Linked DNA regions of Macaca fascicularis. The main gene of each other region encodes a partner of the protein of the gene in region 3 in a complex. Links are inferred from orthologs where the notes say so. Each region holds a gene or a part of one and is shown on either strand. Other genes may lie near its edges.

Region 1 (5,254 bases), on a different chromosome or scaffold from region 3:
CAACAGAAAAAAAATACCATGTTCACAGACTGGAAGACTTTAACACTTAAAATGGCAATACTCCACAAACTGATCTACAGGCTCAGTGAGATCCCCATCAGAATCCCAGCTACTTTTATGGAAACTGACAAGCTGATTCTAAATTCATATGGAGGTCGGACCCAGTGGCTCACCTGTGTAATGATCACTTAAGTCCAGGAGTACGAGATGCAATGAGCTATGATTGCAATCATGACAGTGTGGTACTGGCAGAGAGGCAAACATACAAATCAATGAAATAAAATTGAGGATCCAGAAACTCATACATCTATGGTCAAATGATTTTCAACAAGGGTGCCAACTCCAAACGACAGAGAAAGAATAGTCTTTTTAACAACTGGCGCTGGGACAAATGGACAGTCACATACAAAAGAATGAAGTTACCTTTACCTCAAACCATGTACAAAAAACTAACTCCAAATAGATCAAAGAAGTATATGAACAGCAACACCCAGAAAACTCTTAAAAGAAAAACATTGGATTTGGCAAAGGATTGACATGGGATTTGGCAAAGGATTATAAAATATGAATATGACACCGAAAGCATGAACAACAAAAGAAAAAACTCAGGCCAGACGTTGTGGCTCACACCTGTAATCCCAGCTCTTTGGGAGGTCGAGGTGGGCAGATCATTTGAGGCCAAGAGTTCAAGACCACCCTGGACAACATGGCGAAACCCCATCTCTACTAAAAATACAAAAAAATCAGCTGGACATGGTGGCACGCAACTGTAATCCCAGCTACTCGGGAGTCTGAGGCACAACTGTTTGAACACAGGAAGTGGAGGTGGCCGTGAGCCAATATCCAGTGACACAGTAAGACTCTGCCTCCAAAAAAAAAAGGAAAAGAGAAAAAAAAATTAGATAAATTAGACTTCATCAAAATCAAAATTAAATTTTGTGCTTCAAATGGCACCCTCAAGAAAATGAAAAGACAACCCATAGAATGGGAGGAAATATTAGCAAATGACATAACTAACAAGAAACTTGTATCCAGAATATATAACGAACTCTTACACCAAGGCCAGGCAGGGTGGCTAATGCCTGTAATTCCAGTGCTTTGGGAGGACTAGGCAAGAGGATCCCAAGGGCCAGGAGTTCAAGACCAGCCTGGGCAAAACATAGCAAGAACCCATCTCTACGAAAAGTAAAAAATTAGCCAGGTATAGGGGTATGCACCTGTACTCCTAGCTACTCCGGAAGCTGAGGTGGGAGGATGACTTGAGAACTGGAGTGGCAAGGGATGATCATGTCACTACACTCCAGCCTGAGTAACACAGCAAGATCCTGTCTTGAAAAAACAAAAACAAAACAACAACAAAAAAAACTCTTACAACAATTAAAAGACAACTCAAAGAACAGCCAAAGAATGCAAATAGATATTTTTCCACAGAAGATACACAAATCGCCAATAAGTACATAAAGAGGTGCTCAACATCATTATTCATCAGGGAAATGCAAATCAAAACCACAATGAGATGAGATACCACCTCACACCCAAAATGGAATGGCTACAATCAGAAAGTCAGATAACAAGTACCAATGGGGATGCAGAGAAATGGGAACAGCCATACACTGTTGGCAGGAACATAAAATGGTGCATCTTTGGAAAACAATCTGGCAGATCCTCAAAAGATTAAATGGCAATTCCACTCCAAAGTACAGACACATGGGAAAACAAAACATATGTGCATAAAAAGCTTGCACCCCCAATGTTTACATTAGTATTATTCAAAATAGCCATAAGGTAGAAATGGCCAAAATGTCCATTAATGAACAAATAAACAAATGTAGTATATCCACACAATGGAACAGTATTTGTCCATTAAAAGCCATGATGAGGATGTCATCGAGCCTGTAGATCAGTTTGTGGAGTATTACCATTTTAAGTGTTAAAGTCTTCCAGTCTGTGAACATGGTATTTTTTTTCTGTGTTTAGATTTCCTTTAATTTCTTTTAGCAATATTTTGTAGTTTTCAGAGTTTTTACTAATACATATCACAACATAAACGAACCTTGAAAACAGTGCCAAAAACCATATACTCTATGATTCCATATACTAAAGTCCAAAGCAGAAAATTATATAAACACATAAAGTCAATCAGTGGTTGGTTTGCCTAGGGCTGGAAGGGGGAGGGAAAGAAAAGGAGGAGGAGAGAGATGATAGCTAAAGGGTATAAAGTATCTTTCAGGTGATTAAAACTGACTGTGGTGATAAATGCAAAACTCTATCAATATACTAAAAGCCACTAAATTGTACACTTTAAATGGATGACTAGTATGGTATGTGAATTATATCTCAATAAAGCTGTTTTATGAAAAAAGAGTTTGTGCCAGGTGCGGCGGCTCACGCCTGTATTCCCAGCACTTTGGGAGGCTGAGGCAGGCGGATCGCCAGGTTAGGAGACTGAGACCATCCTGGCTAACACGGTGAAACCCCGTCTCTACTAAAAATACAAAAAATTGGCCAGGGCATGGTGGCGGTCGCCTGTAGTCCCAGCTACTCAGGAGGCTGAGGCAGGAGAATAGTGTGAACCCAGGAGGCAGAGCTTACAATGAGCCAAGATCACACCACTGCACTCCAGCCTGGGTGACAGAGCAAGACTCCGTCTCAACTTGGAGTCTCTTTTGATGAATTGTTTATATCTGACATTTAAAGCTCAGTGTCCTGGCCAGGCGTGGTGGCTCACACCTATAATGCCAGCACTCTGAGAGGCTGAGGCAGGCTGATCACCTGAGGTCAGGAGTTCGAGACTAGCCTGGCCAACATGGTGAAACCCTCTTTCTACTAAAAAATACAAAAATTAGCCAGGTGTGGTGGCAGGCACCTGTAATCTCAGCTACTTGGGAGGCTGAGGCAGGAGCGTCACCCGAACCCAGGAGGCAGAGGTTGCAGTGAGCCAAGATCATGCCACTGCACCCCAGCCTGGGCAACAGAATGAGACTCTGTCTCAGAAAAAAATAAGTAAATAAATAAAGCTTAAGGTCCAAAACTCAAATTCACTTTTAACATCTTCAATATAAATTTTGTTTTTAAGATAAAACATATATACATATGCATACAAAAACATAGTAATGAAATAGAAATATTTTCCAGTTTCAAGTACTATGAAATCTAGTAACAATAAACTCCAAAAATGGGAATGGCAAGAGTGGATATGTCACTTCTGTAACAATAAAAAGCTGTGCTATAATCCATTAATCGGTACATTAGAGTTACAGATCCTGCTAGTACTTGAGAATGAAATGTTCAACCTTTCCCCTTCCACAAATCACCCTCATGGAGCTCATACACCCACTTTTCTGATACTGTTCTGTTGGATGTGCATGTAAGGCTCATTTCCCCAAAAAGACGTATCTTCCTTAAGAGTAAGAATCACTCATACTTAATAGTTAACCCAGCACAGCCCATACACCAATATTCACTCATTATTCTTTTCTGTCTCCTTACCATGTCTCTTTTCTTAGCCTCTCTTGCTCTGTTGGTTTTCTTCAGACTTACAAGCAAAATGAGAAAAACGAAGTCCCTAGAAGTCCAGGTTCTATGTTTCATCCTATTTCTCGTAAGTTTACTGAGGTATCAAATCTAATTATGGCAGTCGTTTAATAAACTTCAAAACAAAAATATTTTGAGATCTGGCAATCCTCAAATTAGAGCTTCTTCTGATACTATCTTTAACCATTAAAAATCTATTTCACTCTACTAAAATTCTACTAATATCACCCACAGAAATTTCCACATCTTTCCACTTTGCCTAAGAAAATGTCACAGTTGCCCTTTTCTGCCCTTTCTTTCTTAGGAAGCACACAGCCTAAGGCCTTCTCTCCAAACCTCCAAGATTATCTTTTAATGAAGCCCAACCATCATTTAAATTACTATACTGTAAATATAAAAGGTTCTGATCTAATCTTAAAATCCTAAAATACATTTTACATATGCTCTGTTGAGCAAGGCCATGTAGTACAGCTTTTATTCATTTCATCCATTTTCATAACCTCTCATGCTACCAAGCCTATATTTACTCATCAAAAGTTGTAAAAGTATTGGTAGCTAATTTTCCTGAATGTTCCACTGCATCTTTACTTTTCTCCTGCTGAGATTGGTAGTGTGCTAACAGTACCTGAAGTAAAAATTCTTTTACTTCCAAAACTAGAACAGATAACCACCTCTTAATGTTCACTTAGTACAAAAGGTATATGTTTACAAACCCACTCAACTTCTTCCCAATCTTTCACCACAACCCAAAATGCATTAAAGGCATATCTCGAATTGATTTTCACCTCTAATATATTTTTTAAAGCTAAAAAAAATGTGCATATTGTGGTAGTAGAAAAATAACTGCCTCCCTCAAAACGTCCACATCCTAATCCCCAGAACCTGTGAATTCAAGTTGCAGAAGGAATTAAGGTTGCTAAAATCAAACGACCTTGAGAGATTATCCCAGATTACCCAGGTCAGCCCTATGTAATCACACGGGTCTTGTAAGTGAAAGAGGGAAGCAGGACAGTCCCTGTCTGAGGGAGGTAATGAAAGAAAGACTGGCCAGTCATGGCTGGCTTTGAAGATGCTGCAGGGGCCAGGATCCAAAAGGCAAGGGCCGCGTCCAGGTGGCAAAGGCAAAGCAGCAGTCCCTCCTGCAGCTCCAGGAAAGAACACAGTCCAGCCAAGACCTTGGTCTCAGCCCAGCCAGACCCACACAACCTTTTTTTTTTCTTTTAAACAGAGTCTCGCTCTGTCGCCCAGGCTGGAGTGCAATGGCGCAATCATGGCTCATTGCAACCTCCACCTCCCAGGTTCAAGCAATTCTCCTGCCTCAGGCTCCCAAGTACCTGGGACAATAGGCACAGGCCACCATGCCCAGCTAATTCTCTGTATTTTTAGTAGAGATGGGGTTTCACCATGTTGGCCAGGATGCCCTCGATCTTCTGACCTTGTGATCCACCCGCCTCGGCCTCCCAAAGTGCTGGGACTACAGGCGTGAGCCACTGCGTCCGGCAACCTCCACAACTTTAGAATAATAAATTTGTGTGATTTTAAGCCACTAAACTTATGGTGATATGTTACAGCCTCATTGGAAACTAATGCACACACAAATTGGTCCATTTTAAACATTATAAATAGAAAAACAAATAGAAATAAATGCACTCTAATATCCCTAAAATCTGAAAATTAAAGTAACTGTATCTGGTTAGTTCATCTAATTTTCAGAATCCTG
Region 2 (5,352 bases), on a different chromosome or scaffold from region 3:
TCTGGATGTTTATATTGAACACTTCAGTTTTAGGAGATACACCATTAAAATGTATACAAAAGATCCGTTTAACTTGCTGATATAGCACTCAGTAATCAGATGATGTTCAATTTCCATTATGTTGATGGTGTTTTCAATCCTGTGGACTTTGCAATCCAATGTTCGCAGAAATATTGAACTCTTATTATAAAATTTTCATATCATTTAAAGATTTGGATTAATGCCTTTATAGTGGAACTTCTGTGAAATTGAGTCCTGAGATCTGAGTTTTAGTCTTGAGGTTGCTCCTGACCTTGAGACATTAATCCTCAAATCTTAAAGTTTTCTGGGCCTCTGTGTTGGGATTGGTCATAGCTCAGTTGTTTTTTGTCTTCTCTCTTCTCTTCCTCTCCCAGAGTGCTCAGCCCAGGTTACCACACCAACTTCATCTGTAGCATTTCGGTAAGGCATCTGGGCAGGATACTTGATCCTCTAAGCCTTATGTTACTGATCTGCAAAAAACGAGATAATAGCATCTACCGGCTAATAGTTATGGTGGCGATTAAAGGAGATCATGAATGTAAGCATTGGGTGCAGTGGTTCACGCCTGTTGTCCCAGCGCTTTGGTAGGCCAAGGTGGGATGATCACTGGAGCCCAGGAGTTCAAGATCAGGCTGGGGAACATAGAGACCCCGTCTCTTAAAAAACAAAGAGAGAGAGAGAGAGAGAGAAGAAAATCAGTCATGACTTACAATGGAAGAAATTATCATCAGGATGTATTTGGAAATAATATTTAGGTTGAAAGACTTAAGCAGGAATATTACTTCTTATGTGCACTGGAAAACACAGTGACATGACTCCCAAAACCTTCAGTCAACGAGTCTGTCTTACTGTTTCCTCCCCAGATCCTAGGGGGTATTAGCAATCAAGGGCTCTCAAATGTTTACTCTTGGTTAGATAAAATTTATCTTCAACTAATTTTTCTTCTGATTCAATTTGTCATTAAATATATTGATTTAAGAATTTATCACGCATCTCACTTGTACAACTTCTCCCATGAAAGCATCGAATTGCAACTTTGTATGTGTAACTGTTTCACACATTCAGAAACCGGCCCCTTCAATTCGCGTGGACCTATCTGCTAAGTGGTGCACAGACTCACCCTCTGAACCCACAGACACGACCTTTAATGCGGGAAATGTGCATGATCCCATACAGCGTCCATCTCAACAATTGGAGGCTGGGCATCCCTGAGAGGGGTATGCCTGCCTTGAAGATATGGAAAAGTTTTGTTTTCGTTCCTTCCGCTCCTTAGTGCTTGCGCGGAACCGGGACGTCTCCTTTGGACCCGCTAATGTTACAAGCCGCCCAAGCGCGCCGCTGCTGGCCTCCGCCCAGACCCGGATTCCTCTCGCCTCCTGGCGCCCTTTCTCGGGCGCCCGGCCCGCGGCTGGCGAGGGCTCTCTGACCGCTCCGGTGTCCTCGCCCCATTTTACTTCTTGGGTCCCCGCCGGTGCCATCTGGTTGGAACCCTCGGGAAGAACTAAAAGTTGGACGTTGCCACCCCTACCCCTCGCCAAAAACTAAACACCGGAGGCTGCCGAGGCGCTGCGGGAGGAAGGCGACAAGGAAAAAGCGAGGACGGAAGGCGGCCCCGGGTTCGCCCCGGCCCGGGCCTCCCGCCTCCCCACCCCGCACCCCGTGCCGTCCCCGGCTCCCTGGCTTCCCGACGGCGAGGAGGGCCGCTGCTTCCGCGTCGGAGTCGGCCAGGGGGACCTGCGGGGTGCGGCTGCCGCAGCGGCGCGCCCCGGAGCCTGGCCCGGCATTCCAGTCCGAATAGAGAGAGGCAGGGAATCAAATGGAAAAGCAGGAGGCCAGGCCGGGCGGGGAGGGAGGCGGCGCGGCGGGGCCCGGGAACCCAGCCCGGAGCGCTCGGAGCGGCCGGCTTGGACTCACGCGGCGCGCCCGGGCCGCCCCTCCTCCCCGCGCCGCCGGCCGCGGCCCAGGCTCCCTCGCTCCGCCACTCCCCGCCCCTCCGCGCTCCCTCCCCGCCCTCCCCGCGCCGCCGCCTCCTCCTCCCGGCCTCCCTCTCCCAGCCAAACTGAAAGCTGGACCCCAGGCCGCCGCGCCGCCGCCCGGCCTCCCAGCCAGCGCGCCACCATGGGCAGTCCCGGTTTCCCCTTGTAAAGATGGCGGTGAGGGATCGCTGCAACCTTTAGACTAATGACTGTCCGAAACATCGCCTCCATCTGTAATATGGTGAGTGGCCGAGCCGCCTCGGGGTCGCGCCCGACTCGCGGCGAGGCAAAGAAAGGGAAGCCCGAACTGCACCATTCGCCCGGCGGCTGGGGCGGCGGGGTCCGCGCCGCCAGAAGTTCCCGGCCGCCGAGCTGGGCGCGCGGTCGCAGCCCCCTCAGCGGCCGGGGAGGGTCCCCGAGCCCCCCGCGCCCGCCTCAGCCCCGGTACATCAGAGCCCGCCCGGCGATCCCGGGGCCCCGCTGCTGCGCCCCCGCCCTTGGGTTGCGGTGGAAGCGGCTTGAGGGAAGGGAAGCGACCGAACCTGAACGTCCCCAGGGAGGGGGTGGGGGATAAGGTGGAGGTGGGGGCACCCATCCTCTTCTTGCGGTCAAGTCGGCCTTGTTGGACGCCCAGACTGCCCTCATCTCATTTTGAGTTCAGTCCTTCAGCGGTGTTTAGAATTCACTTTGCAACACCAATTGTGTATATGGAGAAATTGGAAATGTAATAAAGCTGTAAAAAAGTGCAAAATTGTGGCTAGAGAAGTGAACTTCAGCCTGGTTTGAAAAAGCACCGTAATTTGCTCCGCATGCCTCAGTTTCCCCATCTGTGAAAAAGGGACAAGGCTCTGTAGCGGTAATATTTGCATGCCCTAAGGGTGGGGCCGGCTGTGGGCTTGGAGGAGGTCTCCAGGGTTATCCTACCTTATCCACTGTAGACCTAGGGGAGACTGGCGGGCATGGATACAGCCAGGGACATCACTGGGTTCTGATGCAGTCCGAGCCCATGACGCGGTGGTCACTTTAATTTGGGCTTCTCCCATTGCTTTCCCTTTTTCTGTAGGAAGAACCTCCAGCCCTTGGGTCCCCAGGGTCCCCAGGGTGGACCCTGCTGGCACCTCCACACGTCAGAGCCTTTGGGAGCTCAGACTGGAGTAAGGCATTGCTGTCCCTTGCAGGGTGAGATGATGTGTGCTTTGCTCCATTCTTTAGACTGCACCCCGCCCCCCTCCAGCCCCCTCCCAAACTGGTCCCCAGAGGCAACACGTGCTCTTACAGTGCCAGTTTGAGGAAAACCTCCCTAGAAGCTAGTAATACTGGCCCCTAAAGGGAATCCAAGGAAGCTTGTTGGAGAAGCCCTGGTGTAAGGTGATCTGGCTGTCCTTCCCCCATCACATAGCTTTTTAAATCTTCTGTCCCACATTCTGTTGCAAGATCAACACATGGCAAAGGAGCATTAAGAAACCTTGTGTTAGCTCAGGGGTGGAATTGAGACCTGCTGGCTTCAGCTTTCAGCACAGTGGGACGTGCCACTGTCACGGCCAGCAGAGCAAATGCTGGGGCCTCCCAGAGTGATAGCTGCACAGGTATTGGTTGGTGCCGGGCGAATTCATACAGGGAGTGGATCCTGGAGCCTTTCTGTTTTCTCTTTTTTCATTTCTCTGCGAGGAGACAGGTTTACTCTTATTCCTGTGGAGGGGCTGCTTGTTATAGAGGTGATGCCTTCTCAGTTTCTCTCTCCTACGACCAGCTTCTGAGGGAACTGTGAATCAGGAGCAGCTTGAATACTCTCTCATGTCTGTTGGTGTGGCCGCAGGCCTAAGGATACTACAGGGTAGTTAGGCTCCGTCCCAGCCCTTGGTGGTGTTCTTGTCCAGCTTGTGTGTGGTTACACCTCTCTGTGTAGAAGCAGGCTGGAAACTTGAGAGCTAGCATGTCCCTAGAGGAAGCCAGCCCCCAACCTCCCCCCACCCGCCTCCCTCCCGCCCTCAGTGCTGTTGGGGCTTTCTGGCACACCTGGGCTGAATGTCACAATGTGTTTCAGTGAAACTCAGCTAGGGAGACAGGGTGTGGGGAGGACCTGAGAGGAGCAGGCCAATACTGCCCTGAGAGTTGACATCTCGGGTGGAGACCTAAAAAGGTACCAAATTTAGGACCATCACCCAGATGAAGTGAGGAACGAGTAATTTCATTAATTAAAGAGTCCGATGTGCCTATTTAGACGCTGTGTCTAGAGAGAGTGACAGAGTTTGGGTTCTAATGTCAGACTTTCTGGGTTCAGGTCCTGGTTCCTTTTTTTTTTTTTTTTTTTTGACAGGGTCTCACACTGTCACTCAGGCTGGAGTGCAGTGGCATGAACATGGTGGCTCACTACAGCCTCCACCTCCCAGGCTCAAGCGATTCTCCCACCTCTGCCTTCTGAGTAGCTGGGACTACAGGCACGTGCCACCATGCCTGGCTAATTTTTAAATTTTCCATAGAGACTGGGTCTCCCTTTGTTCCCCAAGGTGGTCCCTAATTCTTGGGCTCAAGAGGTCCTCCCACCTCAGCCTTCCGAAGCGCCAAATTACTGCTGTGAGCCACCATGCTTGGCAGGTCCTGGTTCTAACACATGTTGGCTTTGTGTCCTTGAACAAGTTGCCCAGTCTTAGACTTTCCTTATCTACCAAAAGGAGATGTTAATATTGTATTACTCGGGCATAGGGCCTGGTACATGGCTAGAACTCAGTGTCATTGTCAACATCATCTTTCTCATTGTTATGTCATCTACCAGGTGTTTAAAGGACAGTGGAGATCATGCCATTTCAGACCTGGTGGAAGCAACCACTAATATAAACACCGCCCACGTTTAGGAAGGCTGGAGTGGGAATCCTTAACCCCGCCCCCTGCTCAGGTCACCCCCCCCCCCCCCCCCCCCGCCCCTGCCGCCCCTCCCAGTCTTCCTTCCCAGAGGAGAAGGCTGGATATGAGAAAACTGCTGTCTTTTCACTGGATCAGACGTAAATATTCACTGGACCTTGATTCTTCGCTCAATAATGAATTGTTTCCAGGTAGGTGTCTTACAGGTCCCTTCTCACTGCTTAGCTTCTCTGTGGGCCTCTTACTGACCCTTCCCACTCCTAAGTTTGTTTGGTCCCAGCTGGTTTGAGTAGTTGTAGTAAGAGCAAGTGAGGATTGCATTTTTTTTTTTTTTTTTTTTTAAGCAGATCGTTTGACATATTTTGAACAGGCTGATATGTGACCAGAAAGGATGTTAGAAGATACCATTTTTCTGGGTAACAGGAAAAAATGAAGATCTATCATTGAAAGTGGATTTGTTTCCTCCATCAGATAAGAAAGGACCCGGCAGAGTAGA
Region 3 (5,175 bases):
AATTTACTTCTAAGTTATCACTGCCAGTTTTGCTTAAGCAGCTTTCTGCCATCACAATTTTTACTCCTCTAATTCACATTTCTTTATTAATTTAAGAACAAGTATTTGTCAAGACAACTTTTCTAAGCATTACTTATATACTAGCACTATGCAACAGAAATTTGTGACCACAGATGTAATTTGAAATATTCTAATATCCATATGACAAAATTTAATAATAAATTTTATTTAGCCTAATATGCCCCCAAACATCATTTCAACATGAAATCAATACAAAAAATTATTAATGAGATATTTTACATTCTTTTCTTCAAACTAGTCTTTGAAATTTGGGGGTAGTTTACAATTACGTATCTAAACTGGAACTAGCTATATTTCAAGTGCTCAAGAGCCACAGATGACTAGCAGATACAACATCAAATCCCACAGTGTAGTTCTATAGGATTCACTTTCACTAGAGAGGGCCTGATCACCCTCAGCTCCTATAATTAGTGTCAGTGAAAACCACACTTTCACCCAGAAGGACCTAACTGTTCTAGTATAAGAGATGATTTAAACTAGAACTGGGTTTTCAGTTCAGGGTTTGGAACTGAGTTGTCTCTGGGAACAATTTTAGCTGATGTACCGTTTTCACCTTCCTGTAACATCTTTCTGTCTTTTTTTTTTTTTTTTTTTTTGAACTTTTAAGTTCAGGGATACAAGTGCAGGTTTGTTATATAGGTGAACTTGTGTCATGGGGGTTTGTTGTACAGACTATTTTGTCACCCAGGTATTTTTTTTTTTTTTTTTTTTTTTTTTTTTTGAGACGGAGTCTCGCTCTGTCCCCCAGGCTGGAGTGCAGTGGCCGGATCTCAGCTCACTGCAAGCTCCACCTCCCAGGTTCACGCCATTCTCCTGCCTCAGCCTCCTGAGTAGCTGGGACTACAGGCGCCCGCCACCGCTCCCCGCTAATTTTTGTATTTTTTTAGTAGAGACGGAGTTTCACGTGTTAGCCAGGATGGTCTCGATCTCCTGACCTCGTGATCCGCCCATCTCGGCCTCCCAAAGTGCTGGGATTACAGGCTTGAGCCACCGCGCCCGGCCTGTCACCCAGGTATTAAGCCTAGTACCCGTTAGTTATTTTTCCTGATCCTCACCCTCCTCCCACCCTCCACCCTCCAAAAGGCCCCAGTGTGTGTTGTCCACCTCTTTGTGTCCATGCGTTCTCATCATTTGGCTCCTACTTACGAGAACACGCCGTATTTGGTTTCCTGTTCCTTTGTTAGTTTGCTTAAGGAAACGGCCTCCAGTTCCATCATGTCCCTGCAAAGGACATGATCTCGTTCTTTTTCATGGCCCCACTTTTTATCCTTTTAATTTAAATGGATTATTTGCTCTTCCCGAAGATGGAGGCAATCTCCTTTGCAAGGACTTCTATTCTTCCCCCTTTGAGGCCAAGATACAATTCTCCGCATTTTTAGGTACTTAATAGTAAATCACTTGGTTCCCCTGCTTGTCTAGGAAGGGTTAGGAGATCGTCCAGCGCCATGTCTTGCACTGTTAATTCTTTCAGTGCTTTCATTTCGCTTGGACCTCTCGGGGAGGGCCTGGAAAAGAGAGCAAGCCAGGGTCTAGGGCCACACAGAAGTGGATTTGGATTGCTCACTCAGCCCTGAAAAGTGGCTCTCTCCCCATCAGTATTATACTTGCACAATGATTTTGTTTTTAGGTGCATCTACCTCACCAGGTGGCTACCGGCCATACAGCAACGAACACCACCCAGGAAACACATATCCTGTCTACCTTCAGACCCGCCACTGATCCTTGGCCAAAGGGAAACGGGCAGAACATCCGCCCGGTCTGAGCCACCTCCGGAAGTGACGTCGGAGTGTCAACATGCAAGATGGCGGCCCATCACCGGCAGAACACAGCAGGGCGGAGGAAAGTGCAGGTATGGAAGCCCGGTTCCTCGGCCTTCCGGACGCGGCTGGCAGCTCCGGGCCCACTCCAGCTAGAAGGTGTCCGGGACCACGGCCGGCCGGGGTAGCGGCATGGGGCGAACGGGGCGGGGCGCGGCCGGCCTTGAGGGGTGGGGCCGCGGCGCTAACGGCTTGAGGAAGGGGCGGGGGTCGGCCTGCGTGGCCCTTGGGGCCCAGGCCCGGGACCCTCGCGGGCGGCGTTCTGAGCCCGGGATTGCTGGTCGCCGCTTTTCTGTAGGAATGGACTTGCGGGGTCGGGATAGGCTAGTTCCCCGCCCACTTGCCTCCCTCTTCCCCTGCCTTTCTTCGAAGCGCTCTGCCCTCGCTGCGTCTGAGCGGAGGCCTCCAGGGGTTTCCCGGGAGGGTGGGCGTTGGAGGAGTGAGCGGCCTGTGCGGGGGCGTGGCGAGGCGGCGGAGCATCGACGGCCCTGCGGGGTTTCTGCTGAGGATTCCGCACTTGGGAGCCCCCAGCCTTCTCTTATGTTGGAGCTGTCCCCTGGGTAGGTGGAAGTGACATGAGAATGTGCGTGGGGAAATTATAATTTTAATTGGGAATTTAAGTTCGTCTTCACTATTTCTTCACCTTCAGTGTGCATCGCTGAATCTTTCTTTATTGTTTGTATAATTTATTGTCCATGTGGTAAAGAGTTGTCTAATCTTATCGTGTGTGTCTTGTGCCTTGTGCCTTTGTGAATTCACTTTTGTTTGGGGTTACGCTTAAGAGTTATTGCCACTTCGGGGAACATCACACACCGTGGCCTGTCGGGGTCTGGGGGAGGGATAGCATTAGGAGAAATACCTAATGTAAATGAGTTGATGGGTGCAGCAAATCAGCATGGCACATGTATACCTGTGTAACAAACCTGCACGTTATGCACATATATCCTAGAACTTAAAGTATAATAATAAAAAAAGTTATTGCCATTTAATATTTTCCGTGATGCAGGGAATAAAAGCCCTCTTACAGGTGTTTGCCTGCAGGTGTATTGTATGTGGTAGTGGCAGTTTGGTGCATTTATTCTTTAAACATTTACCTAGCACTTAGAGTGGCCCCCAGAGGGGAAAAGGGATTGAAAGGTTGTAGGAATAATTTACACCTAGGCTTTCTTTATAAAACACAGCATTATATGGAGTTCTGCAGGTTGAAATCAAGTGTCAGATGAAGGTGGTTAGATAAAGGGATCCTTCAGTAAGGTAATCCCAGCAGAAGGTGGTAGGTTATAAAGTCTTCTGAGTAGTTCACATCTTGGTTTTATTGATCTCATTGATCAGCACAGTGTCTTAAGCACTCACTGTATGTTTGTTGAAATGAGTGAAATTAATGAGTCTAAACTCACTCTGTTAGGTGAGTTTTTCAGTGCATTAGTGATAGGATTTCAGTATCACCAGCATCCAAGGCAGGTAGTGAGAATGTCTCCTCTGGATGGAAATATAACTCAAAATTGTAACCTGATTGTATTACAAGTCTATAACACTATATGGTGGTATACTTCTCTGGGGAATAAGGGTAGTTCATCAGGCCTTTCAGTTTATTGCATTAAGACTTAAAAGTCCTATTACTGCAGTGTGTTCCCTGCTTGCTTCCTTCCCAGGCCTACCCACTCCCAAAATGCATGCAATAAAGTATATATATTTTAAAAAGACTTACAAGGCAATTGTACTAGTATGGGATGAAGAAAATGTAAATTAACTGCAGCAGGTTTGGAAAACCAATGTTTTAATAGGCTGAATGTGAGCCAGTGCATGTAGAATGAGACAGGTGATGGATAATGCCACTTTTCACTGGTCAGAATAAAAAATTAGAGTTTGCTCTTCCGCACTTAGGACCGTGTTCTTCATAGGTAGCAATCAGATTGGTGAACTGACTTGAAATTATTTCCTATGAAGAACTTTTGAAAGAGCTGTCTGAGATTAACCTGCTGAAGAGAAGATTCAGGTAGCTTTCAGAATTTGTCCCCAAGGTATAGAAGCAGCCTGAGAAGCCACAGGGATTGATTTCATCTGAACCATCATTGTCTATGAGGTGTTATTTAAACTAATGAGTGTTCATTGTAAAAATCCCAGCAAACAAAAGTATAGATTAGAGTTGCCCTCCATGCTTCCGAGAAAGCTGCTGTGGGCAATGTCATGTTTTAATCCTAGACCAGAGTTTATCAACCTGAGCATTCTTGAAATTTTCGTCTGGATAATTCTTGGCTGTGTCTGAGGGAGGGAGCTGTCTTATGCATCACAGGTTCTTTAGCATCATCCCTGGCTTCTACCAGCTAGATGTGGTAGCATCTCCCTGGTTGTGACAACTAAAAATGTCTCCAGACGTTTTCAGATGTCCCCTCGAGGGCAAAACTGCTGCTGGTTGAGAACCACTGTTCTGTACCTCTTCCTGCTTGTGTACCTGACTTAACGTGATTTTTTTTTGCTATAAGTGGAGCCATAGTATTCACTGTTTTGTGTCTTGCTTTGTCAAATTTTTAAATAAACACTCCCTTTAGCCCAGAATTCCTTATCTAAAAATATATTCTACAAATTTGCATATGCATATATCTGTCCCTACTTATGCAAGGGTGTTGTGTGAAGCCATTCTTGAATTGCTATAAAGAAATACCTGAGACTGGCTCATTTATAAAGAAAAGAGGCATAATTGGCTCACAGTTCTATAGGCTTTACAGGAAGTATGGTGCTGGGATCTGCTCGTCTTCCAGGGAGGCCTCAGAGAGAGAGAGAGAGAGTCAGAAAAGCAGGTCAACATGGCATATTCCCATTTCCACAAAGGAAATACGTGTTTTAAAAGTCTGTAAGGGTCATAGCAGTGATTATCCCTTTGGGAATAGATTGTGTGATTATAGATAAGACAGGACATGGGATATCTTTTAGTTTGAAGTATACATAACTTTGTATTTTTGAACTTTTTACCACAGTATTTGCTCTTATACATCAAAAAGAAAACTTCTCGTTTTGGAAAAAGCATATATGGGTACTTGCAGTAAAATATACTTTGTCTCCTGACTGTCTCAGACCAAGGGATAGTAGCCCTGAGCTCCTTGTCAAGTTGTAGGCCAAGACAAACCCTTGAGACTTAAAATATTGCTAAATAATCAGTGGAGGCCGGGCGTGGTGTCTCACGCTTGTAATCCCAGCACTTTGGGAAGCCAAGGTGGACAGATCACTTGAGGTCAGGAGTTCGAGACTAGCCTGGCCAATATGGAGAAATGCCGTCTCT

The links.
Region 1: the proteins of WDR48 (region 3) and USP12 are in contact, whole or in part, in a crystal structure (PDB 5K1C), measured with the Homo sapiens proteins. The link is inferred for Macaca fascicularis from reciprocal best matches to the Homo sapiens genes WDR48 and USP12. Residues at the interface, in NP_065890.1 of Homo sapiens: Arg50, Trp77, Asp118, Tyr119, Lys121, Leu137, Ser170, Tyr172, Thr188, Asp211, Asn212, Lys214, Ser230, Gly254, Trp256, Arg272, Ile363, Ile364, Leu424, Lys425; in NP_872294.2 of Homo sapiens: Arg185, Leu187, Thr188, Cys189, Glu190, Thr191, Ser227, Lys230, Cys236, Arg237, Ser238, Lys239, Gln240, Glu241, His243.
Region 2: the proteins of WDR48 (region 3) and USP46 are in contact, whole or in part, in a crystal structure (PDB 6JLQ), measured with the Homo sapiens proteins. The link is inferred for Macaca fascicularis from reciprocal best matches to the Homo sapiens genes WDR48 and USP46. Residues at the interface, in NP_065890.1 of Homo sapiens: Arg50, Trp77, Asp118, Tyr119, Lys121, Leu137, Arg139, Ser170, Tyr172, Thr188, Asp211, Asn212, Lys214, Ser230, Gly254, Trp256, Arg272, Ile364, Leu424, Lys425, Gly521; in NP_073743.2 of Homo sapiens: Arg181, Leu183, Asn184, Cys185, Glu186, Thr187, Cys222, Ser223, Glu224, Lys226, Cys232, Cys233, Ser234, Lys235, Gln236, Glu237, Gln239.

The regions. Positions count from the first base shown.
Region 1 is NC_088391.1:7,177,782-7,183,035, forward strand, and holds the start of USP12 (ubiquitin carboxyl-terminal hydrolase 12), read right to left. Parts: upstream 3,720-5,254; 5' UTR 3,592-3,719; coding exon 3,490-3,591; intron 1-3,489. UniProt on the Homo sapiens protein: Deubiquitinating enzyme that plays various roles in the regulation of the immune response and inflammation.
Region 2 is NC_088379.1:81,255,545-81,260,896, forward strand, and holds the start of USP46 (ubiquitin carboxyl-terminal hydrolase 46), read left to right. Parts: upstream 1-2,059; 5' UTR 2,060-2,202; coding exon 2,203-2,238; intron 2,239-2,658; exon of another isoform or gene 2,659-2,853; intron 2,854-3,060; exon of another isoform or gene 3,061-3,176; intron 3,177-4,770; exon of another isoform or gene 4,771-5,032; coding exon of another isoform or gene 5,033-5,047; intron 5,048-5,352. UniProt on the Homo sapiens protein: Deubiquitinating enzyme that plays a role in behavior, possibly by regulating GABA action. May act by mediating the deubiquitination of GAD1/GAD67.
Region 3 is NC_088376.1:101,122,073-101,127,247, forward strand, and holds the start of WDR48 (WD repeat-containing protein 48), read left to right. Parts: upstream 1-1,864; 5' UTR 1,865-1,882; coding exon 1,883-1,930; exon of another isoform or gene 1,931-2,458; intron 2,459-5,175. UniProt on the Homo sapiens protein: Regulator of deubiquitinating complexes, which acts as a strong activator of USP1, USP12 and USP46. Enhances the USP1-mediated deubiquitination of FANCD2; USP1 being almost inactive by itself.